3 linked regions of the Macaca mulatta genome follow. The protein of the gene in region 2 interacts with the protein of the main gene of each other region in a biochemical or structural test. Links are inferred from orthologs where the notes say so. Each region holds a gene or a part of one and is shown on either strand. Other genes may lie near its edges. The genes, in order: CDC7, MCM6 and MCMBP.

Region 1 (3,654 bases), on a different chromosome or scaffold from region 2:
AACATAAGTGACTTGTGTTCTTGTGTTAAAGTTTTCTTTTAAAACAAAAACAGCACCAGTTTTGACATTACTATAATAATTCCAACGAGGTAATTATAGTTGTAACTGGGGAAGTGGCAGAGAGAGAAAAAAGGGAAAAAATTAATAAGACTTAGCAGATAAGATGGTAACAGTAATAAATAAATTAGGGTCACTAAACTAATAGATCATACAGCCAGGATTTGAACCCAGGCATTTTGCTCCAGACATATGCTCTTAATCACTATGCTACACTGCTTCATAAAAGAGTAAAATAGGACAAAGGTGATTTCTATGATTTTGAGCCTGAGTAAGAAAACAATAGAGATATCAAAACATAAGTAAAGCCAGTAAAAGCAGCAGCTAAAACCAGACCTCATCATTTTGATAGAGCTATCTAGATAAGGGACTAAACCTTAAGTAAGACAAGTGAGAAGTCAGTGAGAGTACTTGCAGAGAAGTGATACCTAGAGACATGAAAATTAATAGTGAGAAAAGAAAACTAAGCTTGGAAGAAGTCAAGTTAGAGAGCCAAATAGGAAAGGAATTTTGAAGGAGGAGTTATTAGCATGGAAGTCAAAGAGAATAACAACTGAGGGGAGGCTTTTAGTTTGGCAAAGAATAATTAACTGGTAATTTTTAAGACAGCAATTTAAGTGGAAAGGAAGAAACAAAACAGAAGAAAGGAAAATAAAACACAATGGAAGCTGAGCCTAAAGACAATTTGCCTGACTGCACTGTAAGATCAGATGAAGGCATTTTTAGCATGTACCTTTTTAAGCACAGAAAAAGAAAAAGTGGTAGAGGGAGACAGTTAAAGTATAGAAAAAGGAATGATCACATTTACGGTACAAGAACGTATGCAAGCGTTCTTTACAGAGGCCATCTCATTTTCTTGTCTTCTATAGTACACAGAGGGCTGAAACAAACAGGCTTACTTATTCATTCATTCAATATTTAGTGGGCACTGTTATTTGCTGTTAGGGATTACAGACATTAGTAATGCAACAGTGAATAAAATTTACAGAATTTCTGTCCTCATGGAGTTTACTACCTAGTGGACAATACAGATAATAACAAGGTAACTTATAATGACAGATTATGGTAAGGGCTTTGAAAGAAATCAAAAGATGCTATGACAATTAGAAGAAAATAGGAGAATCTAATTTAATTCAGAGAAGACATCTTTTAAGCAGTGTCACTCTTTTTTTTTCCTTAGAGACAGGGTCTTGTTTTGCTGACCATGCTGGATGGAGTGCAGTGGAGCGATCGCAGGTCATTACAGCCTCAAACTCCTGGGCTCAAATGATCCTCCTACCTCAGTCTCCCAAGTAGCTGGGACTACAGATGTGTGCCACCCTGCCTGCCCAATTTTTAAGTTTTTTGTAAAGATGGGGTCTTGCTATGTTGCCCAGGCAGGTCTCAAACTCCTGGCCTCAAGCAATCCTCCCAAAGTGCTGGGATTACAAGTATGAACTCCTGTGTCCAGTTTCACTCTTGCTCAGATCAGAAGATAAAGGGTCAGCAGGCAATGACTGGGAGAGGCCTTCCTGAATGGGCAAACAGTCTGGGCAGTGGCCCTGAGGTAAGAAGGCTCTTGAGACAAATTCGATAAACTAAAGAAATGGAGTACAGTGAAGGAGGTGGGAAGACGGGCATGAGAAGGTTGAATTTTTTTTCAAAGTACAAAGGGAAACCATTGAAAGATTTTAAGTGGGGGAACTAATGACCCAATTTAAGTTATATACATATATATTTTATATTTTAAAGATCATTCTGGCTGCTGTGTGAAGACAGAATGAAGGGGAGAAAGACGCAGCAGGCTACAGTTATAGTCTAGGCTTCAGCTGAGGTAGTGGCAGAGAAGATAGACATGGATGAACTTCTAGATATATTTTAGAGGCAAAATGGCTAGGACTTAGTGATTAATGTGGTTTAGGAGAGAAACAGAAAATGAGGATGATTTCTAGGTTTCTGGCCCGAACAAGTGCGTAGATGGGCCATTTGCAGAGATGGGTAGATAAGAACATTTGTTGTGGTGGGGTTATTTTTGGCATGTTAAGGTTTAGTTTTGGCATATTAGGTTTGAGATATTTATCAGGCACCAAATGGAAATGTTAAATAGGCAAGTGGATATATACAAACCTGTAGTTACGATAAAAGGTCTGAGATTAACTATATACTTGTGGGAATCATTACTTTAGATCATGTGGAAATGGAGGACACTAAGGAGAATACAGAGAAACCCAAGAGCAAGCATGAGGAACTCCAACATTTAGGGGTCAGATAGAAGTGGAAGAGCTGGCAAAGACACAAAATGAAAGGCCAAATGAGGGAAGAAGAAAACAACGAGGGTGTGGCAGTACAGAAGTCAAGATAAGGGTTCAAGTCAATTGTGCTAAATGATGCCTAGAGTAATGGCTGACTCTATAGTTTCCAGTTTAGAGGAGAACAGCCGCAGTGAGTATTTAGTGAAAGGGAGGTGTGAAATGAGAACAATGTATGCAGATAATTGTTGAGAAGTCTGGCTGTTAAGGAGGGAACAAAGAAATGATGGAGCAGGTGGAAGAAGGAGGGCAGTTTAGGAGGATAAGATACTAAATCATGTCCTTATGTTGACAGAAATGACCCAGCAGAGAGAAACCATACCAGATGATTCCATTATTCTAAATAAAATATTAGATGAGGTCGTCAATAGCTGGGGAAATGTGAAATGTGAGTTCCCTACATTTACAAAATAATGTAAACCATGAAAGCCAAGGTTTATGATTTGGCAGGAAGGTTACAAAAAGCAGTGATAAAAGACAGGAAATCAAGCCGAGCCTCAAGGGAAATCCAATCTAAAAGAATTACTATAAATTTAACTAACTATTGCAAGGTTAGAAGGAAAGTGCTAGCAAATTGCAAACACTTGACTGAAAAATGTATTTAATTCACATACAATCTCCTCATCCCTGCTAAGCATCTACTTTAAAATCTTATAAATTATATACAAGTTCAATTAAAATATGTTTAAATTGCCTACCCAGCCACTGTTAGGCACTGAAGTTCAGCTGCAATTCTTACAGGATGACTTGTTGGAATCAAGTGTTTTAGAGCAATTTTCTCTTCAGGTCCTACTTGTAACTGTGCTGTGGCCAAATAAACAGAGCTGAAAGTGCCTGTAAAACAATGTATTAAATTTTTCAATATCAGGGTTTTTAAAAATGTTAATGAAACAATTCTAAAATAGATTGTAAAAACTGTTTCAATGGCATAATAGATTAAAACAGGATTTCATTTTACTGTAAATATTTATTATTTATTCTTTCTTTGAGGTTGAAAAAGAAAAGCTGCTACCATAATTAGTAATAAAACTACGGTCTTAATAGTCTAAAAAGTGGTATATTTTTCAATAAGAAGTAGTAATGAAAAGCAAGATTACAAAAGGAAAACAGGAGGGAAAAAAGACCTTGTAAAAATAGTAAAGCATATCCCCAAATTACCTTCTCCAATTTTGTCCTTAATCTTAAACACATTCCCAAGCTGTGGTACAGCTTCATAAAGCTTCTCAATATCTTTTTTAACACCTTTCAAGGAAACAAAAATTTAGACTTTTAATCAATGACAGTATATTTTATAGTTTCTTAAAATTTA
Region 2 (3,654 bases):
TGGGATTACAGGTGTGCGCCACTACGCCTGGCTAATTTTTGTATTTTTAGTAGAGATGGGGTTTCACCATGTTGGCCAGGCTGGTCTCGAACTCCCGACCTCAGGTGATCCGCCTACTTTGGCCTCCCGAAGTGCTGGGATTATAGACGTGAGCTACCACTCTAGCCTAAAACATCAATTTTATTTATTTATTTTTAAATTGTATTTATTTATTTATTTAGACGGAGTCTTGCTCTGTCCCCTAGGCTGGAGTGCAGTGGCGCAATCTTGGCTTACTTCAAGCTCTGCCTCGCGGGTTCATGTCATTCTCCTGCCTCAGCCTCCCAAGTAGCTGGGGCTACAGGCACCCGCCACCACACCTGGCTAATTTTTTTGTATTTTTAGTAGAGATGGGGTTTCACTGTGTTAGCCAGGATGGTCTTGATCTCCTGACCTCGTGATCCACCCATTTCAGCCTCCCAAAGTGCTGGGATTACAGGTGTGAGCCACCACACCTGGCTAAAACATCAATTTTAAAAGCCTTTAATAGTAATAAATAGCAACAATCAACTATCAGAAGGTCTTGCAATTAAAAATAAAACAAAACTAGATACGGGGCTTATTCCAGAAATGCAAGATTGGTTTAACATCTGAAAATCAATCAATATGCTAAATTAATAAAACAACTACATGACCACCAAAACAGATGTAGAAAAAGTATCTGACAAAATCCAACACCTTTCATTATAAAAACCAAACAAACTAGGAATAGAGAAGATTTTCCTAAGTCTAATAAAGGGCTTTTTCTTTAACCTGACAAAGGGCATCTATGAAAACCACAGATAACATCAAACTCAAAGGTGAAAGGCTGAATGTTTTGCCCCTATGATCAGGAACAAGACACGGATGTCTGCTCTTGCCACTTCTATTCAACGTTATACTGATGGCTCTAATCAAGGGCAATTAGGCAAGAAAAAAAGGCAGCCAGATTGGATACTCCAACTATCATTATACACAGATTTTATACATAAAAAATGCTACAGAATTCACTAAGACTGTCACATACCACATGATACTGTTACCAGAGGCAACACTGTAGTACATCTTTTTTTTTTGGGCGGCGGGGGGAGAGAGAATGACAAGAAAAAAAACATCCTTTGTAACACAGGACTACTATCTTAAAATCTAAAACTCAGTTCGTGATATGTTCAAAAGAAATATTTACTCATAATACTCCAAACCAACTAAAAACGTTCAATATTCTAAAATGGTACTATGTTACAAATTTCCAAAACAAATAAAGAAAAGGCAGTTTGATGTAGCACGAAGTACACACGTTTTGCAGGCAACGGCAACTGTATCTGAATTTTAATATTCATGGCTCAGTGTCACCTTTCACCTACAAGAGAGTGGGCAAATTTCTTGTAGGCTTGGAGAGGTTGTGACTCCCTGAAAAAAAGGGAATAATACACATGCCTGTCTGGGTGCTGCCAGAGTAAGACATAACACATACACAGCACCGAGAACATGGCAGGTGCTCAGAAACTGGTTGCTTTTATTTTGGGCCCTAAGTTTCTTAAAAGTTTGAAAGTAACCAAGTATTTATTACAGCTTCTAAAAATAGTCAAAAATAGTGTTCCTACTGACAAAGTTAACATAAAATATCTCATAGCATTCCCTTTAGAAAGTACATCCAGGCCGGGCGCGGTGGCTAAAGCCTGTAATCCCAGCACTTTGGGAGGCCGAGACGGGCGGATCACGAGGTCAGGAGATCGAGACAATCCTGGCTGACACGGTGAAACCCCGTCTCTACTAAAAAATACAAAAAACTAGCCGGGCGAGGTGGCGGGCGCCTGTAGTCCTAGCTACTCGGAAGGCTGAGGCAGGAGAATGGCATGAACCCGGGAGGCGGAGCTTGCAGTGAGCTGAGATCCGGCCACTGCACTCCAGCCTGGGCGGCAGAGCGAGACTCCGTCTCAAAAAAAAAAAAAAAGAAAGTACATCCTATTTTAAAACCTAACAAATGTTTGTATTCTTAGTCTCAACAATCCTGTATCTAGCAATATACCCAGAGGAAACAAACAAAAAATGTATATAACATTATGATGTTCACTGCATCTATATCAATAATTATTATAATAAACTATCCTGTTAAATTTAACAGGGCTAAGGAAATGATTTTGTAAGTTATAATATACCAACAAAAGAAGACATCTGTGAAAATGAGAAACTCATGAGATTTTTCCATGCAAAAAGATACATGGAAAAAATGTTTAGGGAAAATTAAAATTACAAGTATGTATAATATGATTTACAATAATGAAAATACATAATTCACATATTCAAACACTTTTGTACAAAGATATTATACAAAGACTAAAGAGTTCAATGTGAGATTGGTATTGCAGGCAATTTTTCCCTATTCTAAAAAATTGTAAAATGTTGCCATATCTTTATGAGAATTATATATTTAACATAGTCATAATTTACACTCCTAGTAAGGCCATGGTGACTGTATTCTTGGTAGCACAGCCAGCCTGGGAACTATGTACACTTTTTCCTGCTATACTATATCAGGCAAATGCTTACTTGAGAAATTGGCTCTTAGCTGTACTTGGGTCACCAACAATGCAAACATTTATGTCCCCTCGAAGAGAGGTCCCTTCTCCTGTTGTCTTTGGAACGCCACCAAAGAGCATCAGCAGGACACCCCGTTTTACTTCATCATTGCCTGAAATGAAAAGCTATAGATGAAAAACTAATTTTTCAACATAAAGTTAAACACTTTCAGAGGAAACAGTAAAGGCATGTTTACCAACCAAAAGGTAGAGTCAGCTAAAGCAAAGCATAAAACTGGAGTAATAATACCTGGCTTCTGATCTTGGTTCTTGCTCTGTGGACTTAGTCACCTAAACCACTGTTCTAATGTCTTCTCCTACACCACAGATGTCACTGTGCCAGTGCTCACTATCCTAAAAGCCAGAGCCTTTACTTGTCCATGAGTCCTACCTCCCACACAAAACCTTACCCAATGCCTTAGCCCTCAACGATCTCTCCTGATAAATGAACTATGTCCACCACAGCCTACCACATTTGCTAGTCCTTTTTAATGCCAGTTCTTATAGTTCTGTCAAGAGTTTGAGGAAATGGTTCATAACACTTTTCTATCACCTACAGTGACCAGTACTGAATAAATGTATGTTAACTGAATTTATGTGGATTAAATAAGATGCTGAATGCAATTTACAGCTGCTTAGTTCATAAATCCAGTAAGAAGGAAAAACAATTTTCTTAAAAAAAAAATTGTTTCTTAAAAACGATTTTTTTTTTTTTTTTTTTGAGACGGAGTCTCTGCCGCCTGGGCTGGAGTGCAGTGGCCGGATCTCAGCTCACTGCAAGCTCCGCCTCCCGGGTTCACGCCATTCTCCTGCCTCAGCCTCCCGAGTAGCTGGGACTACAGGCGCCCACCACCTCGCCTGGCTAGTTTTTTGTATTTTTTAGTAGAGATGGGGTTTCACTGTGTTAGCCAGGATTGTCTCGATCTCCTGACCTCGTGATCCGCCCGTCTCGGCCTCCCAAAGTGCTGGGATTACAGGCTTGAGCCACCGCGCCCGGCCAAAAAACAATTTTCTTAATAGCACACTGTGCTATTAAACATTTTTCTGTGGAATTATC
Region 3 (3,654 bases), on a different chromosome or scaffold from region 2:
CAAAGTATATGATGAAGCTGCAACAGCTTAATATGCCAGAAAATAAATGTTAAAAAATAGTAAGATCATCTCAAAAAAAGGACCCAGCACCTGCTTAAAGTGGCTCCCACTAGCTACATCTGGGAAAACTTGGGTCTCAAAATAATATAATGATACTAACATTGAATAAAATCAGAATCTATTAGTCCATACTAAATATAAGTAAATAAATTACTTGAATAAACACATGGAAGAGATATCTTTTATAGTAGAATGCCAATAAATAAATGTACTGAGTTAGAGAATTGCCAACGTTGTAATAACTGATTCAAGCAAGAATCATCAATTAATGCTGAAATAAATTGGTGAAAGTTTAATGAGAAACTGGATATTTACGTCCCAAAGTATCTTCCTCCAAGTTACTTGTCAATTACAAAGTGAGAAATGTAACTTTAGAGAAGAGACATCTGGAAGACACACCTTAACCAACTGATGAAAATTAACCTCACCAGTAACGGGACAGACTGACATCGCATGCCTCCTGCTTTAACATACTGAGGATACATCACTTCTGTAATATTCCTGCCAAAAATGCGCAACATTGAGTCTAACAAGTAACAAGTACATGAGGAAACAAGTAACTGGCTTACACTCTTCAAAAACGTCAAGGCTTTCTGCTCTCTACCACGTGAGAAGACAGCCACCTGCAAACCAGAAGTGGGCCCTCACTAGAAACCACATCTGCTGGGAACTTGATTTTGGACTTCCCAGTCTCCAGAACTACTGGAAGACATATATTTCTGTTGTTTAAGGGGAAAAAAAAAGTGGCAAGACCATGAAAGACAAAGGCTGAGGACTATTTCAGATTGAACTCTAGTTATTTAGGTTTATGTTTTATAGAGGTATGAGTTAACAATTCTGAAATTCCCTTCTCTATGTTGTACAAATGTGCAAATGACAGATTGTGAAAAATGGGAATCAAGTTTAAGAGTTACACTAACACAGAAAGGAGAACAAGTAGAACGACACCTGTGGTGCTGAACTGGAATCAGAAATACAGTATGAACTCAGTAGAAATAGAGAATAAGCGAGCTTCCGAACCCTGGACTGGGGGATGCGGAAGGGAGAAGTGTAAGAAAGAACATGATTAAGACAATTAGTAAAATTAAGTATAGACTGTGGATTAGTGTATTGTGTATTTGTGGCAAATTTCCTAGTTTTGATACCTGTACTCTGATTACATATGAGAAAGTCAGTGCTCTTAGGAAATGTTGACAAGCAGTTGGGGTAAAAGGGTTTGATTTCTGCAATATATTTTGAAGTGTTTCAGAAAAATGTGTGCATCCATAGAGAGCACAAATGAATGACAGAGCGCATGGGGTGCATGTGTTTACAACTGGTACATCCGGGAAGCGAGTTCTTCAAAACCATCCTGTAACTTTCCCAAAAACTTGAAATTACATAAAAATAAAGGAGACCAGAAAAAGAGCACACAGACTCACCTTTCATCGTTATTCAGTATACTCAGCACAGGATCCACAGACAGGATGCCATACAGCTCAAGAATGTCATTTACTTTGAAACAATCCCAATCTTCATAAACCTAACAAGAGACCACATGAAATCATACTGTTAGAACAGACACAAAGCTTAAGATACTAGTCCTGGAGTACTAACATCTTAGAATTTTAGATCAGGAAATGGACCTTAAAGCAAGTCCTTTATTTTATAAATTTTTATAAATTGAGACCAAGAGTCACTCTGCTAGTTAGCAAATAAGTGAAAAACCAAAACACAGGATGCCTAACTTCCAGACTAATATCTCTTTTCAATATACCACAGTACTACAAAAAAAAAAGTCTTTTTCTAAAATTAAAAAAGGGCTTTTCCCAAAGGCTGACAGTTAAAACTAGAAACGTGCACTATCTCAAAATCTATTAACCACATCAAGAAAAGGAAAAACAAAAACAAGATGATTAACTTTGCATTTATTCATAAACTGCAACATTGGATTAACACAAAACTTAGAATGGCCAGAAGATTTTTCACAATTTAAAAAAAAAAACACATTCAAAATTGTCATGATGGACTTTAGTAATCGTCAAGGCCATTTATTTACTGAACAGACCCGGCAGAAGCATGGCAGGGAAAAAAGTAGTCATTTTGGTCCCTGTGCCATATGACTGAAGTATCATTTCAATTAAAACCACTGAGAATCTGAGTGTAGTGGTCACCCCTGGAATCCCAGCACTTTGGAAGGCTGAGGTGGGTGGATCACTTGAGGTCAGGAATTCGAGACCAGCCTAGCCAACATAGTGAAACCCCATCTCTAGGAAAAATACAAAAAACTAGCTGGGTGTGGTGGCACATGCCTGTAATCTCAGCTACTTAGGAGGCTGAGGCACGAGAATCGCCTGAACCCAGGAGGTAGAAGTTGCAGTGAGCCAAGATCATGCCACTGCACACCAGCCTGGACAACAGAGTAAGACTGCCTCAATAAAACAAAACAAACCCCCCTGCCCCCAAAACAAGAAAACCCAAAATGCACAAAGGATGGAAATCCTTAACAATCATTTTAAAACCTTCTGTCACTTGCTCATTTATCAGCATCAAAACACTAGAATAAGTAAGATGGAAGAAAAAACTATTAAAAGTTTTCTTCCTTCTGTTTTATTTTAAATACAAGTGAGAAATAGGTTTTGCTGAGAGAAGGAAGAAGACAAAAATGAAGATTATATGTTAGAAATGATACAGGAAGGGAACAGACAATTTAAAAGTTGTTCTGCTTCTGCATTTGAGATGTTCTTTGATTCTTTTAACTTGTGAATGTTAGCTTATATGCAAAAGGAACGTGCAGAGGTGTGATTAATAACCTTGAAATGGGGGGGATTATCCTCGATTAACTGTGTGGGCCCCATGTAATCCACAGATTCTTAAAACCGGGGAACCTTTCCTGGTTGTGGTCAGGTGAGATGTCACCATGAAAAAAATGGTCAAATGCAATGTTGCTGGCTATGAATATGGAAGAAGGAGCCACAAGCCAAGGAAATTCTCCCTTAGGGGCTCCAAGAAAGGAATGTAGTCCAACTCCTACATACAAAGGAGTTTACCTCGGTGAGACCATGTTGGATTTCTGACCTAAAGCCTGTAAGATGATAAACTTTTGCTGCTTTAGGCTATTAAATTTGCAGTGATTTGCTATAGCTAGTCCAGCATAAGAAAACGAATGCAAATGCTCAGACACTAAGCTACTTTCTGAGACACATAACATGTCAATGTCAGACCTAAGAAAGGTTTTATTACCTTCACAAGGCACGCAGGGCCCTTCTCTCCTGGCAATGGAAAATTCAAATCAAAAGGAGAAGAGAAGTTCAGAGAGTTCAGCTGTTGCCCAGTAGAAGCTTCAGTTTCCAAACGTTTTGGCTCTCCACACCATTGAAGACCACCAACACTCCCTAAATTCAAAGGATAGCATTGCACTTAGTCATTTCTAAGCCCTCCTGGAGAAAAAGAATGTTCCATAAGTGCCTTTCAAGTTTGACATATGTGATGCTTCTGAGCTTGCAAAGTTCAAGTTGTTACAGTTTTTAAGGAAACAGCACATACTAACAAAGTCTTTTGTTTGATCTGTAAGAGAACAAAGATAAATATGAAGATCTAAAAATTTATTTTTTT

Evidence for each region.
Region 1: of the proteins of MCM6 (region 2) and CDC7, one has a biochemical effect on the other in vitro, tested with the Homo sapiens proteins (2 studies listed by BioGRID). The link is inferred for Macaca mulatta from reciprocal best matches to the Homo sapiens genes MCM6 and CDC7.
Region 3: the proteins of MCM6 (region 2) and MCMBP form a complex in vitro, tested with the Homo sapiens proteins (2 studies listed by BioGRID). The link is inferred for Macaca mulatta from reciprocal best matches to the Homo sapiens genes MCM6 and MCMBP.

The regions. Positions count from the first base shown.
Region 1 is NC_133406.1:148,801,723-148,805,376, forward strand, and holds part of CDC7 (cell division cycle 7-related protein kinase), read right to left. Parts: intron 3,588-3,654; coding exon 3,504-3,587; intron 3,180-3,503; coding exon 3,044-3,179; intron 1-3,043. UniProt on the Homo sapiens protein: Kinase involved in initiation of DNA replication. Phosphorylates critical substrates that regulate the G1/S phase transition and initiation of DNA replication, such as MCM proteins and CLASPIN.
Region 2 is NC_133417.1:27,473,942-27,477,595, forward strand, and holds part of MCM6 (DNA replication licensing factor MCM6), read right to left. Parts: intron 2,711-3,654; coding exon 2,569-2,710; intron 1-2,568. UniProt on the Homo sapiens protein: Acts as a component of the MCM2-7 complex (MCM complex) which is the replicative helicase essential for 'once per cell cycle' DNA replication initiation and elongation in eukaryotic cells.
Region 3 is NC_133414.1:131,947,747-131,951,400, forward strand, and holds part of MCMBP (mini-chromosome maintenance complex-binding protein), read right to left. Parts: intron 3,435-3,654; coding exon 3,283-3,434; intron 1,583-3,282; coding exon 1,482-1,582; intron 1-1,481. UniProt on the Homo sapiens protein: Associated component of the MCM complex that acts as a regulator of DNA replication.